Solanum lycopersicum: one gene and its partners. The protein of the gene in region 2 interacts with the protein of the main gene of each other region in a pairwise test. Links are inferred from orthologs where the notes say so. Each region holds a gene or a part of one and is shown on either strand. Other genes may lie near its edges.

Region 1 (2,488 bases), on a different chromosome or scaffold from region 2:
CACGTAGGATAATAAAAGTGGTGGCATAATACTTAACTCTCCCGGCAAATATGTGACCAGAGTAGATGGTAAGAGCAAACATATCAAAAAAGTATAACTAAGGGTAAATATAACTCTTTTCTAAGAGTACAAGGACAAATATGATCCTTTATTGTTTTAACAATAATTTATTTCTCATTACATTAAAGCTCAACTAATTTGTTGCATCTAGTAGATCTTGCTCAACAATCATTACATATAAGTTTTCTAGTGCTCGCTATAGGTGTTTATTGTGGGGTTAGTTTGACCCTTACAAAATGAACCACACGAATATCATTTTTTGATTCTTTTACGACTATACAGACCCATACAAACCCTTTTATATCGTTTGTGCTTAACTATGATATTTGACTATTGTATTTATAGCTTATTTTCTTTAATTTCATAATAATATTGTAAGTAGGTATATTGTATAGAAAAATAAGATACTTCCTCTTATCTACTAATAGTTGTCCACTGTAAACTCGACACACTCAGTCAAAAAACAATAAATAGTAAAGAATAATATCACTATAAGTTTGTCATGAAATGAAGAGTAGAAAGCATCAAGAATTAAGGTTTAAATGACAAGATGCAACAAAATAGATACGTTTGATTGATCATAATCACATAGAGCAACTGTAACACAAATTTGCTCGCAACTCTTTTCAAAGTAGACTGCTAAATACAAACTGAAGTGAGATATAAACTTACGGGAAAAAAAAATACTGCCCTTTCAAGTCCTGGCAATCCTTTTGGAGCCTTGCAACTTGTCCATACATATTCAAACGTGTCCCCGGAAGCTTTCTGGTCAATTTACTACTAACAAACATGTACAAAAACATATTTCCTTTTCACTAGTTGGCTACTAAGATGGGAAGACTTTGAAGAGTGGAACAAAAAAGATAATACAAAGTACAGAACTAAAATGCACTGCAGCCCCATTACATTGTCCTTTTCGACCAGGATATACTGTCGCTGTCATGCTGGACTCCTCTGCTCTGGAAGGGGTGTCACTTGGATCCCTTCATATATAGATCATAAACTAGTATACTTCACTAAACATATACTTCACGTCATGTCGCCGTGGGATGCAAAAAGATGCAGGCCCATCTGTCTTTTTATATGGTCTGGTATCAACCTGTTTACGAGGTCCGGAGAGGCACCAGATAACTGAAACCAGGAAAAATTAGGGGGATAAGCAATAGAGTTAAGTCAAGAAAGGCAAGTACAGAATGCGTAACTTCATAGCAATACAGTTTTTCAATATTAATGGCCTTGACATGCTTCTAAATTCTAATGGACAATTGAAGATGGCAATTCCTGCCAAAGATATGCATAGTTAAGTTGTGCTTTTCGTAAAAATGCATGCTTTAACAATTTTCCGCGTCCTTGTAACTAAAATGCTGTTGTGACTAATATCTCCTTCGTAACCAATAAGAATGAAGATAACTGAATAATGAGGTTATCCTTTACAGATACATATTATCGCGTCTTTCAACCAGGCCCCAGCAACTTACAAAGATACTATTTTTCGAGGGAGTTCAACTCTTCAGGCTTCTCCCTGGCCCTCTTTTCAGTAGATATGGAACTAGGATGAAAGGGCCTTCTTTCATCAAGACTCAGTGACAGTGCATAGCTTCTTTAACAATATACGCACCTCACTTAGTTAGATCCTGTTATCTGACATCATGGTATTGGAAAAAAGGGCATTCCTGTAGTCAAGGTGTAATCTCAAACACCTCAGAGTCAATCCACCCCAATAAATATACTGACACAGTCCACCAGAGATGTTTCTCACCACTAGACTAGTCCACTTGTTCTCATTATTGACACTAATTTAATCATCAGAACTTCTTAGCTAGAATGATTTTCACCCAACCTCTAACATAACTTTCTAATAAAATCACAAGAACCTCAAAGGCTTGTTTCAAAGAACAATACAGAAGGACCACCATTAATCCATTAAATCCAGTGGTATTGTTATGTTGTATAAACCTTAACGTTATAGTAGCCCAACTTATTCTTGGTCAATTAAGCATTGGTTCAGTCCATTTCTTAGAAGCCTAATCCACCCCAGCTACTAACAAAAAAAGAAACAGAAATACTCTGATGACCAATGGACCCCCTCTTCTTTGAGTTCGACGAATGGCTGCAGATCCTTTTATCAATCATCAGACATAAGGATGCCTGTGAGTTTCTGGCTTTTTGTTTCTTCTCCCTTTTCTACTTCTGTTTTCTGTCTCAATCTCCATCTTCGTTGTACTCTCAATTATGCCTTCCTTAGTCAGGGAACCATTATTTTTTGCCAAATCCAGAATGAGTATGTCATCGTGTCGTATCAACACCAGTGGCCGGCAATATCTCTAAGAAGCATAAACTTATGACATGCTAGATTGCATTACCCTCATCAAGCTTGCCATTCCAAAACACCAACTTTAAACATGAGGCCCTGTATAAAGATAATTCA
Region 2 (4,038 bases):
AAAGATGATTCCAACATGAAAAACCTTATTAACGTTATAAGCTATAGTAATAGGGGTCTAATTAATTTTGCAGCCTATATAGTTTATTAATGGTCACTAATTTGTCTTGACATCAAAAATGATTTTCAGTTGGCTTAAGGAATCTCTCGATATTTGCAAAAATCATATTTAAAATTAGCAACAACAAATAAAGTAGTTAATTTGTTAAGTCTAAGAATAGAGAAGACCTAATTAAGTCTGGTACAATTTGAGGGGTTTTAATTAGTTATATTATATTTTAAGGGTAAAGTTTTTTTACTCAAAAAATGCAATTTTATTAGTTATAGTAGAACATTATCTATTTTTTTTAAGATTACAATTACATTAATAACAATAAGAACAACATATTAAGTGTAATCATGTAAATAAAATTTAAAGAGAATAGAATATATAACGTTACACGATATGGTATAAAGTATCGATATAATATACATGAACTAGTAAAAGAAATTTTTTGACGTCATCTATCAGAATTTGAATTCGAGATGAGAATTAATAATTTACCTCAAGTTATTTTATTTTTTAATTAAAAAAAAAGGCTATGCATGCATGTCTAAAAATAAAAGAAAAATCTCTTCCAGATACAAATTGAAAAGCACAAATTGAGCATTACAAAATCAATGAAAATTAAAAAGACAATTAATCATCATCAAATATCTCTCTAGCTAGCTGTAATTATCATAATTGGAGATACAATATAGTATGTATATATAATAAAATCCTCTTGGCAATGACAAGTTTGAAAATTAAAAAAAAAAAGTGAACTGAAAATCCTCCAAATATCTTTCCTTCAATAGTTTGATCTGTTTCATTTTATGTGACATATGACTATTGCTGATCAAAATACGATATGTTATTATTAGTAATGGCACTAAAGTTTGCCACACTAGACGAGGCCGGTGTGTATAAATTAGAAGAAGTTGATGATGCAGAAGAAGATGATGACGAAACCACCACCACGGAGGGTGGTGGTGGTGGTGGTGGCGGAGTAGGAGGAGCTTGTGGTAGCTCAGGTGGCACAGAGGTGGAAATAGAAGCAATAAGACTATTAGCAGCTTCTCTATATTTGTATCTCAATATTTCAGCCCTAATTGTATTAAGCTCAACTTGTAAATTTTGAATTTGTTGTTGTAGAGTTGAAATTGCACCCATGCATCCATACACTGGATCTCTTAGCCTCACATTTGCTTCATATACCAAACTATTTGCTGCATCTGCCCTTTGTCCCACTGGCACCTCCTAATTAAAAAAAAAAGAAAGTCACAACAAGATAAACGTTACATTCTAATTTATAAAAAAATATATAAGTATTAACATACTTTAGCCAATTATAGTTCATGGGAAAAAATGGAGGGGGTTCAAAATAACCTAAACATTTTGATCTTGGAACATACCTCACACATTTATATACATCACTAAAATTTCAACAAATATTAAAATTTAAAACATATGATGTCAACAAATATATATTTTTTAATAGAAAAGATGTTATAACTTATTGCTAATTAGTTTCAAGTCCTAGATCCGTCTTTGATCATAGAAACATAGTCAATGATGGAAGGATGATTTCATCTATAATATATACATATATATAGTGTGATTTTCCTGCGAAAGGATATGATCAACCCCTTTTAGCCACGATTTATCCCAAGACATTAGTATCATTCAAGCGATCTGATAGTATAGTACTGTTGATGCATAAAAGTTAACCTCAAATACAAGTTGTAGATATATACCATTAGCAATTTGGAGACATTGCTTGCCCCAAATACTTTATGAACAGCAGCAAATTTGTGAGGTTCATGTGGGGAAAAATATGGAGAAAAAGGGCATTCCTCAGCACATCTTCTTCTTAAAAGTTTACAAGCAGCACAAGGTGTAACATTGTTCAATGTTGTTCCTCCCCCAACAGGTCCCAACACGTGTCTTCTTCCCATTTGTTGTTGCATTTGTAGCTGTGAAATATCTATCTCTGTCTTTAACTTCTTTCCCATCTCATCTAATCTCTCCCTATTCATCACAACAAAAAGTCAAATATAAAATCGACCAGAACCAGATTCAGAATTTGAAGTTTCATTTTGTTGGTTCTAATATGTATTTGTTGAAATTCTCATTAAATATGTAGGGTTTTGACCTAAGCTAATGAACTAACTCCCATGCGATCGAATAAGAATTTTCAATAAGGAAAATCAAGTTATGAAGTAGTAATTGAACACAATAGAAAATTATACGATATAATTATTTTTTTTGGCGAATGAACTCCTTGAGACCCTAGCTCCGCGCCTTTGTGCATTTGACCTAATTAATCTATAATTCTTAAAAGGAATTTAACAACAACGATTAGATTATAATGATTTGAAGATGTAAATTAATTAGTGTTACGTACCTTTCTCTTGACATTCTAGATATGACTTGAGGTTAATGGAAGATAAATTGAAATTAAGATGAAGATAATTGAGTTTTCAAAGGGAGAGGGAAAATGAGAAAGGGGATTCTTAAAAAGGCAAGACAAAGGTTAATTAATTAGAAGAAATAATTAAATGTACTTTCACAAGAAACTAAAAAAATATTATTGATTGCCAGCTGAGTCAAAGCTTGCTCACGTGTGACTAATTGCATCTATTGACTTTTCATCACTACCAAACTTATGTTTACTAAAAAAAAAAAATAGTTGAAATTTTGTATAGTACCCTATAAAAAAATATATACACAATCAAAATCAGTTATTATTAAATGATATATATTTTATTAATGTATAAAAATTTTATCAAGCGATTGAAATATTCTTATTTTTAATTTAATGTATTAATCGAGCTTTTAAAAAATAAAAAAATAATTTAAAATCACACCTCCAAAATAAATAATGATGGAAAAATAAATGGGAAAGCAACGAAGAAAAGTCCAATTTCTTGCTATTTAGTGTCACCGTCAATAACCAAACTCGTTTACCCGTTGAAAATATTTACATGTCGTCTTGGATTCTTATTTCAAACACTTAAAAGCTAAGACAATAACACTATATATATATATATATATAATATCAGATTTACATAATTAGAAATAATTCTATACTTAAAACATTTTCATCTTAATTATCCGTGTGAAAAAATTGGAAAACAATACTAGTAAATGGTTGCCAATATATGATTCAACTTGTAAATACATCATTTCGGATAACTTTCAGCTACGAAACAAAATATAATTATAAAAAAATATATTTTATAATCTAACATAATATATGGGAGTATATTAAGAAATAACAAATATAATAAACATGTTAAGGTTTTATACTATAGTTTCAGTAGTTGTGCTTCATAACTATAGTTCCATTTGCTTTATATGGAGGCTGTGGTTTGTATATTTCACTTGTCTGTTTGTATATCTCACTAGCCAATATAGAAACACGATTATTTACTATGATTTTTTTTATAAACCGTAGACAAACAACTAGAATAAATATATACATATTCTGATTTTATACGATTAGGAATCGAATTATACAAATTCTGAATTTATACATCAGAATCAAATAGCAAAAATTCACAAAATTATAGTCACATATTAAAAATAATCAATATTATAGCTATATAATATACTCTAAAAGACTTTTATGATAGTCGCTTAATTTTCCTCATACAAAATCTATTTCAAAGAAAACATTATTATAAAATATGATATGATATTTATACAAATTAAGGTGTGGGAACATGGAAAAGCATTGGGAGGATAAAAATAGATATAGTAATTATTTTAGGAAAAGAGATTGAATGAATGGCTTGCTTTAAATGGAAGGAAAATGCATAGATCTAAGTTTAGTTTGACCCGTATTTTTAGCCTATAAAATCGCCCTCTTGTTTACACCAATTATTTACTCATCAATAATTAACCTTCACCAATTACATAAGTAGAGTTTAATTAATGCATAAGGGTAATTTATTTATTTTACTTAACTTAATCATGAGCATCTAAAATACTACTTATGAATAATAATAAAGAATC
Region 3 (2,842 bases), on a different chromosome or scaffold from region 2:
TTAGGGACAATCCTTTGATACTATGTAAGATTTTTCAACCTAAGTTAGTTATTATTATAATAATAATAATAATAAGTCACTTTCTGCGTTTACCCTTTTTCTATACATAACTGGCCTAATTAATTGTAATGCTCTTTCATGCGCCACCTGAAAAGGTGAAATTAAATATCATGTCTCAAAAATCTACCACATCTCAATTGAACAACAAACAAATAAAGTTAATTTAATATGTCAAACATGTACGTATATTTTCACACGTGCAATCATATCGCACAGGTGCGAATCTAGAATGGATCGTGAATGTTAGTAAATAATTTACAAAATTTAATAATTTATGAAAATTCATCTCGATTTATATTCACACAAAAAAAATTTGAATAATATATATATAGGAACACAATTGTTGCGCAAATGTACGTTTTGGACGTATACATTAATTTACTGTATAAAATGTTTTTTTTAAAAAAAAATTAGACTAAAAAGTACAGACAAAGTACTTCAGTTTTATGATGAGCGTGGTACAAAAATATGGAGAATTTGGATTAATATTTAAATAAAAAGGGTATTTACATAATGATGTGCTTCCTCCTAATAATAACATTAATATATTTTCTTCTTTTTTTTCTACTTTTCTTCATAGAAATTACCTTTCTCCCAAAAGCTTGAAAATAGAGAGAATGACAAAAATGAAAAAAAAAAAACAAAAAACGTAATTTTACTAAGTCATTAATTATCCGCCGCCGCCTCCTCACATCCACAACGGCGGCGGTTCGTTCAAGTCAATAGGCAACCCACGTCTCACAATCCCAAAATACATAGCTGCAGCTCCAACATCGTTTTCCTTCGCCGGCGCAGCGACGGTGACCGGCAAGTTAAGTTCCGGCGGCGGACCTACTTGTAGAAACTCTCCAATCATGAGCCTACGTCCGGAGGGGGAAGTCCACCGGTGATCAGATGGAAGGTTGAGATCGAGTGTAAGAGGAGCGGAAGAAGGCTGCGGCGGCGGCGGCGGAGGAGGGGGGAAGTTTGTTTTTGCTTTAGCGCCGCGGAGTGAACGGGCGGCGCCGTCGTAAGCGAGTGCCGCTTCTTCTGGAGTGTCGAAAGTGCCTAACCAGACACGTGTTTTCTTCCACGGGTCGCGAATCTCTGCGGCGTAACGGCCCCAGGGACGCTTTCTCACTCCTCTGTAGTGACCCTCACGAGTGGAAGCCATGGAAATGGGGGAGGAGAGAGAGAGGGGGGGATTTAGAGAGAGAAAGTGTATGAGTGTTGTGTTTGTGTGGGGTTTTGGGAGCTAAAAAAGAGTATATTTGGGCAGCAGTAGTAAAAATAAAAAAGGGACCCACGCAGACACCCGTAATCGTCGGTTGGACGGCACGACCTCTCTCCTAAAATAGGCAAAATATTTAGGTGAACATGTGTTTGGTCGGAAGGAAAATGTTCCGAAATTATAAACAGGCTCTTAAAAAATGAACGAATACTTTTATCATTTCATGGTACTGTATTTTAATACTTATTTTTGGAGAATCGGTTAGTAAGTTACATAAAAATAATGTTAAATAAAATATAGTAATAATGTCTATATTAATTATATATAAAGAGAGATTTTTTTCTTATGCGTTTGATTTGATCTATTAAAAATAACATGTATAATACAAAAAATATTTATTTATAAAAATATTCTGCACTATTATACTAAAAAGCTATAAAAAGAATTTTGAAGGATAGTAGGGTCTTTACTCATACTAATACATATGTTAAATCATTAGCATTAATTGTTGTAGTAAGTTACAAATTTAGGGGCGAATAAAAATTAATTTTACTTAGCAAAACTTAAATAAATAAGAAAAATCATATATAGTAGGGGTATTATTTCGAAAGAGAAAAAAACTAGGTAGCATGGTATACGCCATTGTTTTGACATATCAAACTAAAAATAGGTGAAGTAATAGTTAAACATATGCGATTTCAATAAATTATTTTGCAAATAAACAATTATATATCTTATATTTTACAAATTCTATAGTCATGCTATAGATGGAATGATAAATATAGACTTTTGGTAATGGTAAGTCGGTCCTAAAAAGAGAAAATTTTCTTTCTCTCTTGTTTCTAAATTGCTTCCATGAGAAGCTACAAACTTCGATGAAGTAGTAGTATTTCTTTGATAAGATATACACTCCTGATTTTTCACAAAGGCAGGTGACAACTTTTAAGGAAAATTTACAAAGATATTGTATTTAAGACTATGATTTATAATATAAAATCATATTACATAAACATAATTATTTAATTTGATTTTAGTAAATACTTATGTCCTTCAACGTTGAATATGCACAAATAGATATTTAAATTTGTATAAAATAAAATAAGTAGATACAAATGTTTACATGGCACAATACATCTAGAACGTCATGTAGGACAATAAATTGCCATGTAAAGTATTATGTAGAACAAATGTGTTCATTTGCTTAATTTTATATAAATTTAAGTGTTTACTTGTGCACACCCAAAATTAAATGTCATAGTTTTCAACCGAGTCAAGTTAAGATTCATGTTTATGTATTATGTCTATATAAAATATAACTTTTCTTATTTACAAAATAAATCTTTTAATTAAAAATATGATAATTTAAATTAATAAATATTTTTTAATTTTATTTTTGGTTTTTAAGTCACTAGTGAAGTCGTTTGAAGAATTTGCAAGTTTGTTCTAATTATGGTGGATTCAATTAATCTTTCATTTCCACCCACGTTTCTAAAAAATCTCTTTCTTAGTATTGATAAAGATTAAGAAATAGCCTAAAGTCAAAATACAACAGGGGATAATATTTTTTAAAAT

What was found.
Region 1: the proteins of LOB domain-containing protein 15 (region 2) and GSK3 kinase BIN2-like protein interact in binary tests that used the Arabidopsis thaliana proteins (3 or more experiments, as listed by UniProt). The link is inferred for Solanum lycopersicum from reciprocal best matches to the Arabidopsis thaliana genes LBD13 and BIN2.
Region 3: the proteins of LOB domain-containing protein 15 (region 2) and ethylene-responsive transcription factor 12 interact in binary tests that used the Arabidopsis thaliana proteins (3 or more experiments, as listed by UniProt). The link is inferred for Solanum lycopersicum from reciprocal best matches to the Arabidopsis thaliana genes LBD13 and ERF12.

Annotation. Positions count from the first base shown.
Region 1 is NC_090801.1:57,796,335-57,798,822, reverse strand, and holds the end of GSK3 kinase BIN2-like protein, read right to left. Parts: intron 1,192-2,488; coding exon 1,090-1,191; 3' UTR 592-1,089; downstream 1-591. UniProt on the Arabidopsis thaliana protein: Negative regulator in brassinosteroid signal transduction pathway important for plant growth. May be also involved in auxin signaling pathway. Phosphorylates and increases the degradation of BZR1 and BZR2/BES1 by the proteasome.
Region 2 is NC_090805.1:50,645,629-50,649,666, forward strand, and holds LOB domain-containing protein 15, read right to left. Parts: upstream 2,559-4,038; 5' UTR 2,440-2,558; coding exon 2,426-2,439; intron 2,050-2,425; coding exon 1,776-2,049; intron 1,279-1,775; coding exon 868-1,278; 3' UTR 594-867; downstream 1-593.
Region 3 is NC_090801.1:58,883,721-58,886,562, forward strand, and holds ethylene-responsive transcription factor 12, read right to left. Parts: upstream 1,464-2,842; 5' UTR 1,214-1,463; coding exon 749-1,213; 3' UTR 520-748; downstream 1-519.